Ovis aries: one gene and its partners. The protein of the gene in region 3 interacts with the protein of the main gene of each other region in a pairwise test. Links are inferred from orthologs where the notes say so. Each region holds a gene or a part of one and is shown on either strand. Other genes may lie near its edges. The genes, in order: ZGPAT, USP2 and TRIM27.

Region 1 (3,480 bases), on a different chromosome or scaffold from region 3:
TTAGAACGCTTCCTCCCTGAAATGGGGGCACTGCAAGAGATGTGTGCCTGGTGGCTTCATGTCTTTATTTGGCCAAGTTCAAAGTTGCAGCCCTCTGTTCCCACACTTCCTGTCCCACCTCCTCTCTCCTGGTTTTCGTTTTGGTGTCACTGTTTCAGTGACAAAGACAAGGCAGCACCATTACAACCAGGTCCTCCTAGTTGGCTGGGGAGGCCTCAGTCCTGCGAGTGACGCAAGCAGACCCCCTGTCTTGATGACCTGTTGTGTCCAGCGGAGAGGTGCCAGGGAACTGTTGTCGCAAGTGTGTCTCCCAGCCACATGTGTGCCTGTGTGTGGGTGACTCTAGCCCAGGAGGCTGGAGAGTAACCAGAAGCCTCTAGTCCTTGGGGCACCCAGGTCCATCTGAGAGAGCACAAGCACAGTGTGTGTGTCCATACGTGTGCATGTGTACGCACATGTGCATACACGTATCTGTGTGCTTGTGTGTAGTCAGTGTGTGTATGCCTGTGTATGGTGCATGTGTGGATGTCTGTGCCTCTGTGTCCATGCATGTGTGTACATACATGTGTGCATGAGTGCACTTATACGTGTGCCTGTGTATATATGTATGCGTGTATAGGTATGGGTGTGCATACACATTTATACACATGTTCAGTGTATACATCTGGGTGTGTGTACATATGTGCATGAGTATATTGCATGTGAATACATGTATATGTGTGTAGGTGTGTGTGCGTGTGATGTGTGTGTGTACATGTTGAGTGTATATGTGTGGATGTGTACATGTGTGTGTGGATGTTGCGTGTGTATACATGTGTTCGGTGTAGATGCGCATAATTGTGTATTATATGCGTGTCTGTGGATGTCTGTGTGGACCTATGTGTCCCTCTCTCCATTCATATCTCCATTGGACGGTGTCCAGGCAGGTAGACTGGATTATTTGGGCTTGTGGGACCCTGGTGGCCATACCTGAGTTATGCGGCCCTCTCTGCAGGTTCTCGCACGGGCAGGTAGTCTCAGTGGATGAGCTGCGCCCCTTCCAGGACCCGGACCTGAGCTCCCTGCAGGCTGGCTCTGCGTGTCTGGCCAAGCGGCAGGATGGTCTGTGGTACCCAGCACGGATCACTGGTGAGGCTGCCCCGGGGCCTCCCTGACAGGCCCTTCCCAGGAAGCCCTCTTCATGTGTCACATGTGTTAGTCCTGCGTGACTCCTCCTCTGGGTGGGTGTTGGGGTCCCACCCCACACATGAGAAGAGCAAGGCCCCCTTGGTTTTGGCCCCACCCTGCTCCCACCTTCCAGAGCGGCTACTTCCGTGTGCTGCCCTGCTGCCTCTGTGCCCCTCCAGATGTAGACAGCGGCTACTACACAGTCAAGTTTGACTCTCTGCTGTTGAAAGAGGCTGTGGTAGAAGGGGACAGCATCCTGCCCCCACTGCGCACAGATCCTGCAGGGTCCTCTGACTCAGACGGCAGCGATGCAGACGACCCCAGCTATGCTCGAGGTATGGCTGCTGCCACCCCCAAGAGGCTCCCGGCTGGCAGGGCCCACACTGTGGTCAGTACAAGGACACACTCCCGGGGAGACGAGGGTGTGTGATGGACCTGGGGCACGTCCAGAGACCCACAGACGCAGAAACCATAGTCCCACGCAAGCCGCGGGAGGGGATGGGATGCACAGGAAGGAACAGCTTCCTGCAGGGCACGGGGACCTGTTAGCTGGATGAAGGATCGGCTGTCAGTGTCTAGCCTCCCCCCAGGGGTGGGGGTGCCCACATGGGGTCTGTTAGCCGCATTGTCCATACTGATGGAGGGGAGGACTGCTCTCCACAAGGGAACAGGGAGTGTGGAAGGGTGCCATCCTGTGACCAGGTCGTGGAAATGGCTAGGCTCTGCCTTCTGCTTGTGCCACATGCCCTGGGCAGGGTGCTGGGGATGCTGGGGGCTGGTTGTGCAGAGCTGAGCTCTTGGGTTAGCCTTGGCTGGAGCCCAGGATCCTCTGCATCTAGCTGGGTTAAGCCACTGCCCTCTGATACCTGCAGTGGTGGAACCTGGTGCTGCCAACCCCGGGACCTGCAGCTCCGCTTTTGCCGGCTGGGAGGTACACACGCGGGGCATTGGCTCCAGACTCCTCGCCAAGATGGGCTATGAGTTTGGCAAGGGTGAGTGCACTTGTGCTGCCTGGGGACAGGAGGGACTCCACATCATGGCCCAGGGGTCCAGTGGCAATGCCAGCCTGGTGTTCCCCTAGGTCTGGGCCGTCGTGCAGACGGCCGGGTGGAGCCCGTCCATGCTGTGGTGCTGCCACGTGGGAAGTCACTAGACCAGTGTGCAGAAATCCTGCAGAAGAGAACCCGGGCTGGCCAGGCTGGTGTCAGCAAGCCCCCAAAGTGCCGGAGCAGAGGGAGTGGACCTGGGGGCCGCCCACCTCCTCGCAGTGTGTTTGACTTCCTGAACGAGAAGCTGAAAGGCGGGGCTCCAGGGGCCCCAGAGGTGGGGGCGGCACCCCCCGGGAGGAGTGGCAAGGAGGTATACCATGCCAGCAGGAGTACCAAACGGGCCCTGAGCCTGCGGCTCCTCCAGACCGAGGAGAAGATTGAGCAGACCCAGCGAGCCATCCGGGGCATCCAGGAGGCCCTTGCCCGCAACGCTGGCCGGTATGTGTGGCCCTGCCCCAGGCACCTCACCCCTGCCCAGCTTCCCCTGAGAGAGTTTGGGGGCGGCGGGCCGGGTCTGAGGAGGGGCTGGAGGCGGACGGCAGTGCTGAATGTGGGCCCCTCTCCAGGCACAGTGTGACAACGACCCAGCTGCAGGAGAAGCTGGCAGGGGCCCAGCGGCAGCTGGGGCAGCTCCGGGCCCAGGAGGCAGGCTTGCAGCGGGAACAGAGGAAGGCCGACACTCACAAGAAGATGACTGAGTTCTAGAGCCCTGCACGTGTTGTGGATGGAACTGAAGGGCCTCGGCTCCTGCTGCCCTCGGGCAGACAGCAGGGATGCCACCAGAAGGGCCAGCCTGCTCTGTGGCTACACCCCACAAAGGGCCTTCTTGCTGGCCTCCAGCACGTGGACACTGCTGAGCAGAAACAGGCTGCAGGGGCCCCTTCCTGATGCTTCCCTGCCCACTGAGTCCACCTGCCAGTGTCCTGGGGCGTCTCGTGAGCAAAGACATTAAAGTGACTTTGTCACAGTGTCTGATTTCATTGGAGGCTTGACTGGCTGTGGGGTCCTTGGGGAGTAGGGGTCTTTGCGCCAGGTCACAGGGCTGGGCTGGAGGGGTCCTGAGTGAGCCTGCTGCCCCTGCCCAAACCCAGAGCCAGGAGCCTCCTTGCTGCTCTCCCAGATGTGGGTCACAGCCTCAGATGCCCCCCCCCCCACAGTGCCTGACACCCACAAATGAGTGGAGCTGGTGCTGCAGTGGTGGGAGGAGACCTTGACCATGCTGGGCCTGGGGTAGCACTGTTAAGGGGGCAGGAGGACCCAGTGA
Region 2 (3,751 bases), on a different chromosome or scaffold from region 3:
ATAGGCCTTGGCCGGGGGTCATCAAGGGGATTGGGTCCCTCTCAGTTTCTCTAGATCCCAACAGTTACTCAAGGGCTGGGACGGGCAAAAGAGGTAAAATAAAGAGACTGGAGATTAAAACCAGAATTCCGCCTGGAGGAGAAGAGGTGGGTGGGCTTAACGCAGTGTCTCTTCAGGGTTCTCCTTCATTTGGGTTGGGAGGGGGTTGGCATCTCTATACCTCCAAGAAAAGGCAAAGATATGGGGCCCCCAGGCAGTATTGGAATTCTTAAATTCTGTTTTCTAACCACGACTGTCCCAGGCACTCTCCTGGAACCCCTACCCCAGGGGAGAGCCCCAGGCTCCTTCCCTCTCCTCCAGGGCTTCAGCTTCCTCCTCCTGGCCTCCCAGCCCTTGGTTCTGCCCCTGGGTCTTGCCCATAGCACCTCCAGGCCTGGTGGGGTGGCCTCTCACATGCTCCCCCAAACAGACAGGGATCCCTCAAACAGACAGTCCAGGGCCCTAGGGACAACGGCCCTGTGAATTTCGGATACCAAAGGAGCAGTTACCGACCTGTGTCCGGGGACACTGGGCAGGATCTGGGGGCTTCTCCTTCCCCGGCAGGGCAGGGAGTGCAGTGGCGAGCCCAGAAGCAGGAGTCTGACTTGGGCCGGGTAATCCGGGGCTCAGGTTACTGACTCGATATATATAGTATCTTATCTGACCTCATGGAGATGGCTAGCTCCACTCGCTGGCATTCTGAGCCCAGGGAGAATTAAAGGGGCAGTGGCAGGCCCTCCCTCTCGAGGTGGGTGCCAGGCAAGGAGATCCTGGGAGACTGTTTGCAGGGAGCATTTTGAAATGGAACAGAAGGGGGATTCAAGGGGAAGCAGAACTGGAAAGAGGGTAGAGGGATGGGGGTGGAATTAGGCAAAAATATGGAGAAGGAGGTGTCAGTCACAGAAGTAGAGAAGAGAAAGAAGCCCCAGTCCACCTCCTTTAGCTCTGAGATGGAGGAGACCTGGAGGCAGACAGCAGCTCCCTCAAGGACACAGAAGCAGGGAGAGGCAGAAGGGACCTCTCTCAGGTTTCCAGTTCAAGCTCTTTTATAATGGACTTCTAGGCTTGGGCTTGTATTCCAAGTCTTTCCTTTTTATTGCCTCAGAGACATTTAAGCGGTCATTTAAGTGGTCCAAACCTTATTTAGTCTTAAAACAGGAGTAATAATAATGATATACCTCATGGAGGTGAGGATTAAATAATGCTTGTTAATTTCCTGGCACATAGTAAGAGTTCAATAAATGATAATCACTACTAGATCAAATACTTCCACTTCTAATTAGTGGTAGCATTTGTCAGGTGAACCTTGCTAGTGAGAAAAGGTTCCTCCAGGCCACCCCGTGGGAGTGCCCTGTTCTCATGTCAGAAAACTGCCATGGTTTTCCGAGCTGATCCGTGTCCCATAGCTGGCAAGGCAAATGAGGCTTACCCTATTCCCAGATGTGCAGTCCACCCATCAGAGGAGGGCCAGGCCCACTTGGGCTCTTTCCTTCTCTACCTAGAAAAATATATAGCAAGTGTAGCTTCCCCCAGGCTACCAGGAGCAAGCCTGGCTGCTCTGGAGTGGTTCCACTCTACCTGGAGGAGTGTTCAGGATCCCGAGCCTACAGAGCCAGGCTGGCTGGGCAGGGTCACAGGAGGAAGGTGCAGGATTCTGAACCTCTCGGACCTTGGTGCTCTTGTCAGCTCCCAGCTGTTCCTCCTGTTTCTCGATGGCTGTCCCTGAGGACTGGGAGTACCCGGGATGGTGCCTCCACCCTGTCTCAGCAGAGACTACTGACTCAGCTCAGGTCCTGATGATGCACTTCAGAGGACGCCCTCGTCCCCAGCCCTCATTCCAGTCCTCATTCCGACTCCAGTCTGGCATCATCTACAGCATCAAAGGAATGGTGGCTGCTCCAACCCCAGCCCAACCAGCTCTCCTTTCCTCCACTGTACATGTCGGACTCTGGGGACCTATTCCTGCCTGTGCCTGGGGAGATGAGCATGGGCAGGATCTCCAGCTCAGTTCCATTCTAAGAGCGGCCAGGTCAGGAGGTAGATGCTCCTCCTTAGAGGACAGCCAGAATGGGCTTCCTTAGGCTGTTGAGTATAAGTTACTTGCCTTGGAGCATCGCGTGCCTGATTCTGGTTTGGGATTGGTGAGAATTTCAAAGATGCCTCTTTCTTGTTTGGGATTGGTGGAAAATCTACCCCTTTTCCACTTAACTACTACCCTCCCCCCCACCCCTACCCCTCTTTGGCAAACTGATCAGAGACAAGCCCCCAGGAGCTTTGAGAGGAGGGAGTAAGAAGGCTGCCACGCACACGTGGGGAGGGGTTTGCCAGGGCCCAGGCGTCACTCTCCGCCACATCCCACACAGGGCTCGGAGATGCGGTCCTGCCCAAGCAGCGTTTCCTGAGAACACACTGATCAGCACACAGATGGCTCTCCCTGGCACCCTGAGCTGTCGGCTCACACACACAACTGGCACCCACAGCTGGAGATCCTCAGCGCAGCTGGCACTTGCCCTACATTTCTAGTGCCCATTTTGCCCAGGCGGTCGTTGACACCTCACTCTCAGAGCCTCACACGGCACTGCCCTCCGTATCCCCTCTTCCCCAGTCTCCGACAGGTGGCACGTACCTGCCTATTCTCTGAGGATGGATGAGTCGAGCCGGGCACAAGCATGGAGCTACCGATGAGTCCCGGCTGGTACTGGAGCGGCGCAGTAAACAGCCGCTGACGCAGAGGGCTCCCTGGCCTCGGCTCTTGCCCGCCTCTACCCCACCTCCGCCGGGGGCCCAGAGAGGACCTCCCCGGGAAATCGGCGCCACCCAGCGGGCTGCCGCCTCATTGCGCCCGGGGCCGGCAAAGCCACACCTCGCGTCTAGCGTCACTGAGACGCGTCACGGCGATTGGCTTGTTCCTATTATGACGTCATCAGAGCCCCGCCCGACCAGGATCTCCCAGGCGACCGACATATACAGAGAACCACGTGGAGAAAAGGCACGCGAGCTTGGAAGGGGTGGTTGGAGTACCTGAAGTGGGCCTGAATATGACACGACGGGACAGCTGGAAGGTATTGGGAAAGAGGAAGGGTCACGGGGAGAAGGCTCAGCGTTGAACCCCAGGGCGTACATATCAGCTTTCAGATTTTAGGGAAGGCTAAATGTTCCAGCTCCTTCCCACCCGACTGGGAGAGGGCCAGTTCTTCTGGCTCTTCCCTTCTCTACTCTTTAAGACACTCTCTGCTTATTTTACTAACATGAGACGAGTGACTGGTGGTGTTTTCTGAAGTGGGTAAAACGGTGGCACTGGGTCAGTAGAAGAGATTCTCTTTTTGTCTTTCAAGAAAAAGCCAAAGGAAACTTGATTTTTTGGGTCACTTCCATTCTTTGTATATAACTTTCCCCCCTTTCCTCTACTGTGAAGAAAACCACACGGCCAGGTAGATTGGTGCCAAGGCAAGTCCAAGGTTTTCAGTTTCACCTGGACCGTCAGTCCTTCCAAGTGTCCTTAGCTGCTTCTCTTGTTCTCTGCAGCTGGCATTTGTCCATTACCACTCTCCCAAGTCCCTCCTTGTCTTCTATTTCCCTGAGGAACTGGAGGCAATCAGGAGGGAAATCCTTAAAGTTCTGCCTACAAACATAGCTGAATTCATTCTTACCTCTGCTCCAGGAGCGGTGAGAGCTGTGTCCCTCTTGTGCAAGACAAATACCTTCCAGATCG
Region 3 (2,743 bases):
CTGGTTATTTCTCTTAAAACCTTTTGAATAAATAAATGAATCAGGACATATCACCAATGCATGATCTTCAGCCATGAACCACAATGTTGGGTACAAGACTAAGACCACAAAATCTTGTCATCTTGAGGTCATGTCCAAAAGCAGAAAAGATCGAAAACCTCCTGGAAAAGAGCTGTCCTCTCAGCATATTTTTCCTCCTTAGAATGTGGTGCCCTCCATGACCCTAAGGGCTTAGGCTGCTGCTTCTGAGGTGGGAAGCAAGCTCTGGGCGCTCTGATCTATACCAAGCATTGCTGCATACCCCACTGTCAGTTATAAGCACTTGAGAGAACACTTTTCCAGAGACGTGACAGGATTAGCCAATACAAAGCTGTAGGCTATGGAAGTCCAACACTAGTTTCCAAGCACCAGTAGAAAGCAGTGACATGGTACTGTTTTTATCATCCAGTTGAAAGTAAAATACTGACCAGAATGAGATTCTCAAACCATAGAGGTTAATAGTGTTGATTTCCTCCAATATCTATGAACCCAGTCCTACCAAGACCCAGAAAATAACAACAGTGTAAACAACATCCATACTCACTTTATTTTTAAACAGAGGAGCATGTACCCAAAGAAAGAGAAGACTAAGAACCATCATGGGGGCTTGTGCTAAGTGATCTGCCTTGGCTTTCTGACCTCAGAATGCCTCGTGATCCAATGGCCATAGGGATGGAATAGCCCCTTGATGGTACACACATCAGAAAGGTAAACTCCCTCTTCCCTTGAAATAGAAGGGAGAAATGGAGACAAGTCAATGAATCCCCTGGAATATTGCCCCAGAATCCTTCCAGGGATAGGGTATGACTGACCATCAGTCCACAAATGGAAGTGGGATGGGAGGTAGGAACAATGAGTGGTGTTGAGCAGAAAATAATCCCGGATGATGTGCATCCAGGACTAGGATACACTTTTCATTAGAATGAAGGGAGCTGACAAAGCCCTCAAAAAGATAGAGGCAAAGAGCACATTGATTAGAATATTATCTCCTAACAGAGGTGGGGCTATTTCCCACCATTACTGTAAAATAACTGTAACTAATCAAAACACATACAGGCCTCTTTAATGGAGTTAATAAAACTACAGCAGATTGGGAATCAGGGGTAGAGGTACTAATCCCAAAGGAAAAACTGGGACAAAGGGATCCATGCTGACAGGACTTTAGTCCAGCTGTGGGTTCTCAGAAAGAAGCCCTGGTTCAGAAACGACAGCAAATACCCATGATCACTATATGGGGCTGAGCCCAGGTGTAAGAATCTTGAATGGCTCTCCTAACCCAAGATTATCCATATTCTTTATCCCCTCCAGTAATGTATAAGACCAAGAAGTGTGGAACACTGGAGGTGGACATCTGGTTTTTATTTCTGGGCAATCTCGATAACTTATTACATCTCACAATTTTCATGGGAAGGGGGGGATGGCAGAGAACACAGACATCCTGTCTTGCACTGCAGGGCACGGAAAGTGGTAAGAACATCCAGCTGTGATGGGCAGGAAGTGGCAAGGCAACAAGATGCCTCATGCCTGGGGTGGGAGTACAGCCAGCAGCCCTTCTGGCCTGAGTTCACCTCCTCAAGGGGAGGTCTCCATGGAATGACCATGATTCCCAACATGGCCAGAAAACCCATCGATGCCACTCATGGGACAGATGATCAGAGGAGCTGCGCTCTTCCCTCCAGAGTAACTCAGACTGAAGTAGGGCCGGACAGGCCCACAGAAGGTAGCATGAGAGAAAGTAAAGGTGTGACACCTCTCTGTCACGTTGTAGAAGGAGACCTCGCCAGCATCATAGTCCAAGAAAATCCCCACCCGTTGGAGAGGGGTCCGCAGGGGGAGGGCAGTCATTGGGGAGGTGAGAGCCCAGTATTCTTTCCCATACCACAAGGACACTGCCCAGAATCCATTCTGGGGGGCTGAGGTTACCCCACCTTTTCTGCACACTGAGTCTTCACAGACACCTATGGTCCACTTGGCTTTATCTCCCACCTCTACCTCCCAATAGTGTCTCCCAGCGATGAAGCATGGAGAGCCCAAGACACAGGGAAACAGATTGAACCGCTCAGGGTTGTCGGGCAGGTCCTGCTGGAGGTAACTGTACCGCACTTGCCGCAGGTTATCAGAGAGGATCAGGCTGGGGTAGGCTGTGTCTGGGTCCAGAGTCACATCCACTGCAGAGAAATACAGGGGCAGAGGAGGATTAGCCAAGCACCAGGACAGCCCACTCTGAACACTCAGCTTTTCTCCTATCCCTGAGAAGAGAGTAAGAGCTCTCCAGCAAAGACACATTCATTTTATACATTTAAGTCCACCCTGAAGCTGACATTCCCAAAATTACTGTTTGGATTAGGTAGTTATCTCATTTAGCTAGGATATACTGGAAGTACTGAAATTTTTACCTTGCTTTTCCACATTTTAAACCACAATATCCGTTATAAGCTGAATTTAAGGTTTTCTTATGTGTATGTCCAACCCCTTAATCCGAAAGCCACAGGGTCCAGAAGTTTACAGTATTTAGACAGAGAGGGTGTGGTGTAGCACTCTACAACCAATACTAACAGATCTGCTGTGAAACATATGGATATTCACATTATATCAGATAAAGACACTAAATAGTGCCACATGCATCTGACAATCGTGGTGGTTTCCAGTTTTAAAATCACTGACATATTCTCTCACTTGTTCTTCTTATCTTGTTCAGAAGGAA

What was found.
Region 1: the proteins of TRIM27 (region 3) and ZGPAT interact in binary tests that used the Homo sapiens proteins (3 or more experiments, as listed by UniProt). The two-hybrid records come from large-scale screens. The link is inferred for Ovis aries from reciprocal best matches to the Homo sapiens genes TRIM27 and ZGPAT.
Region 2: the proteins of TRIM27 (region 3) and USP2 interact in binary tests that used the Homo sapiens proteins (3 or more experiments, as listed by UniProt). The link is inferred for Ovis aries from reciprocal best matches to the Homo sapiens genes TRIM27 and USP2.

Annotation. Positions count from the first base shown.
Region 1 is NC_056066.1:53,737,952-53,741,431, reverse strand, and holds the end of ZGPAT (zinc finger CCCH-type with G patch domain-containing protein), read left to right. Parts: intron 1-994; coding exon 995-1,128; intron 1,129-1,346; coding exon 1,347-1,502; intron 1,503-2,039; coding exon 2,040-2,159; intron 2,160-2,248; coding exon 2,249-2,654; intron 2,655-2,782; coding exon 2,783-2,921; downstream 2,922-3,480. UniProt on the Homo sapiens protein: Transcription repressor that specifically binds the 5'-GGAG[GA]A[GA]A-3' consensus sequence. Represses transcription by recruiting the chromatin multiprotein complex NuRD to target promoters.
Region 2 is NC_056068.1:29,668,921-29,672,671, forward strand, and holds the start of USP2 (ubiquitin carboxyl-terminal hydrolase 2), read right to left. Parts: upstream 2,804-3,751; 5' UTR 2,666-2,803; intron 1,771-2,665; exon of another isoform or gene 1,618-1,770; intron 1,533-1,617; exon of another isoform or gene 1,469-1,532; intron 642-1,468; exon of another isoform or gene 1-641. UniProt on the Homo sapiens protein: Hydrolase that deubiquitinates polyubiquitinated target proteins such as MDM2, MDM4 and CCND1. Isoform 1 and isoform 4 possess both ubiquitin-specific peptidase and isopeptidase activities.
Region 3 is NC_056073.1:29,131,252-29,133,994, reverse strand, and holds the end of TRIM27 (zinc finger protein RFP), read right to left. Parts: intron 2,208-2,743; coding exon 1,612-2,207; 3' UTR 564-1,611; downstream 1-563. UniProt on the Homo sapiens protein: E3 ubiquitin-protein ligase that mediates ubiquitination of various substrates and thereby plays a role in diffent processes including proliferation, innate immunity, apoptosis, immune response or autophagy.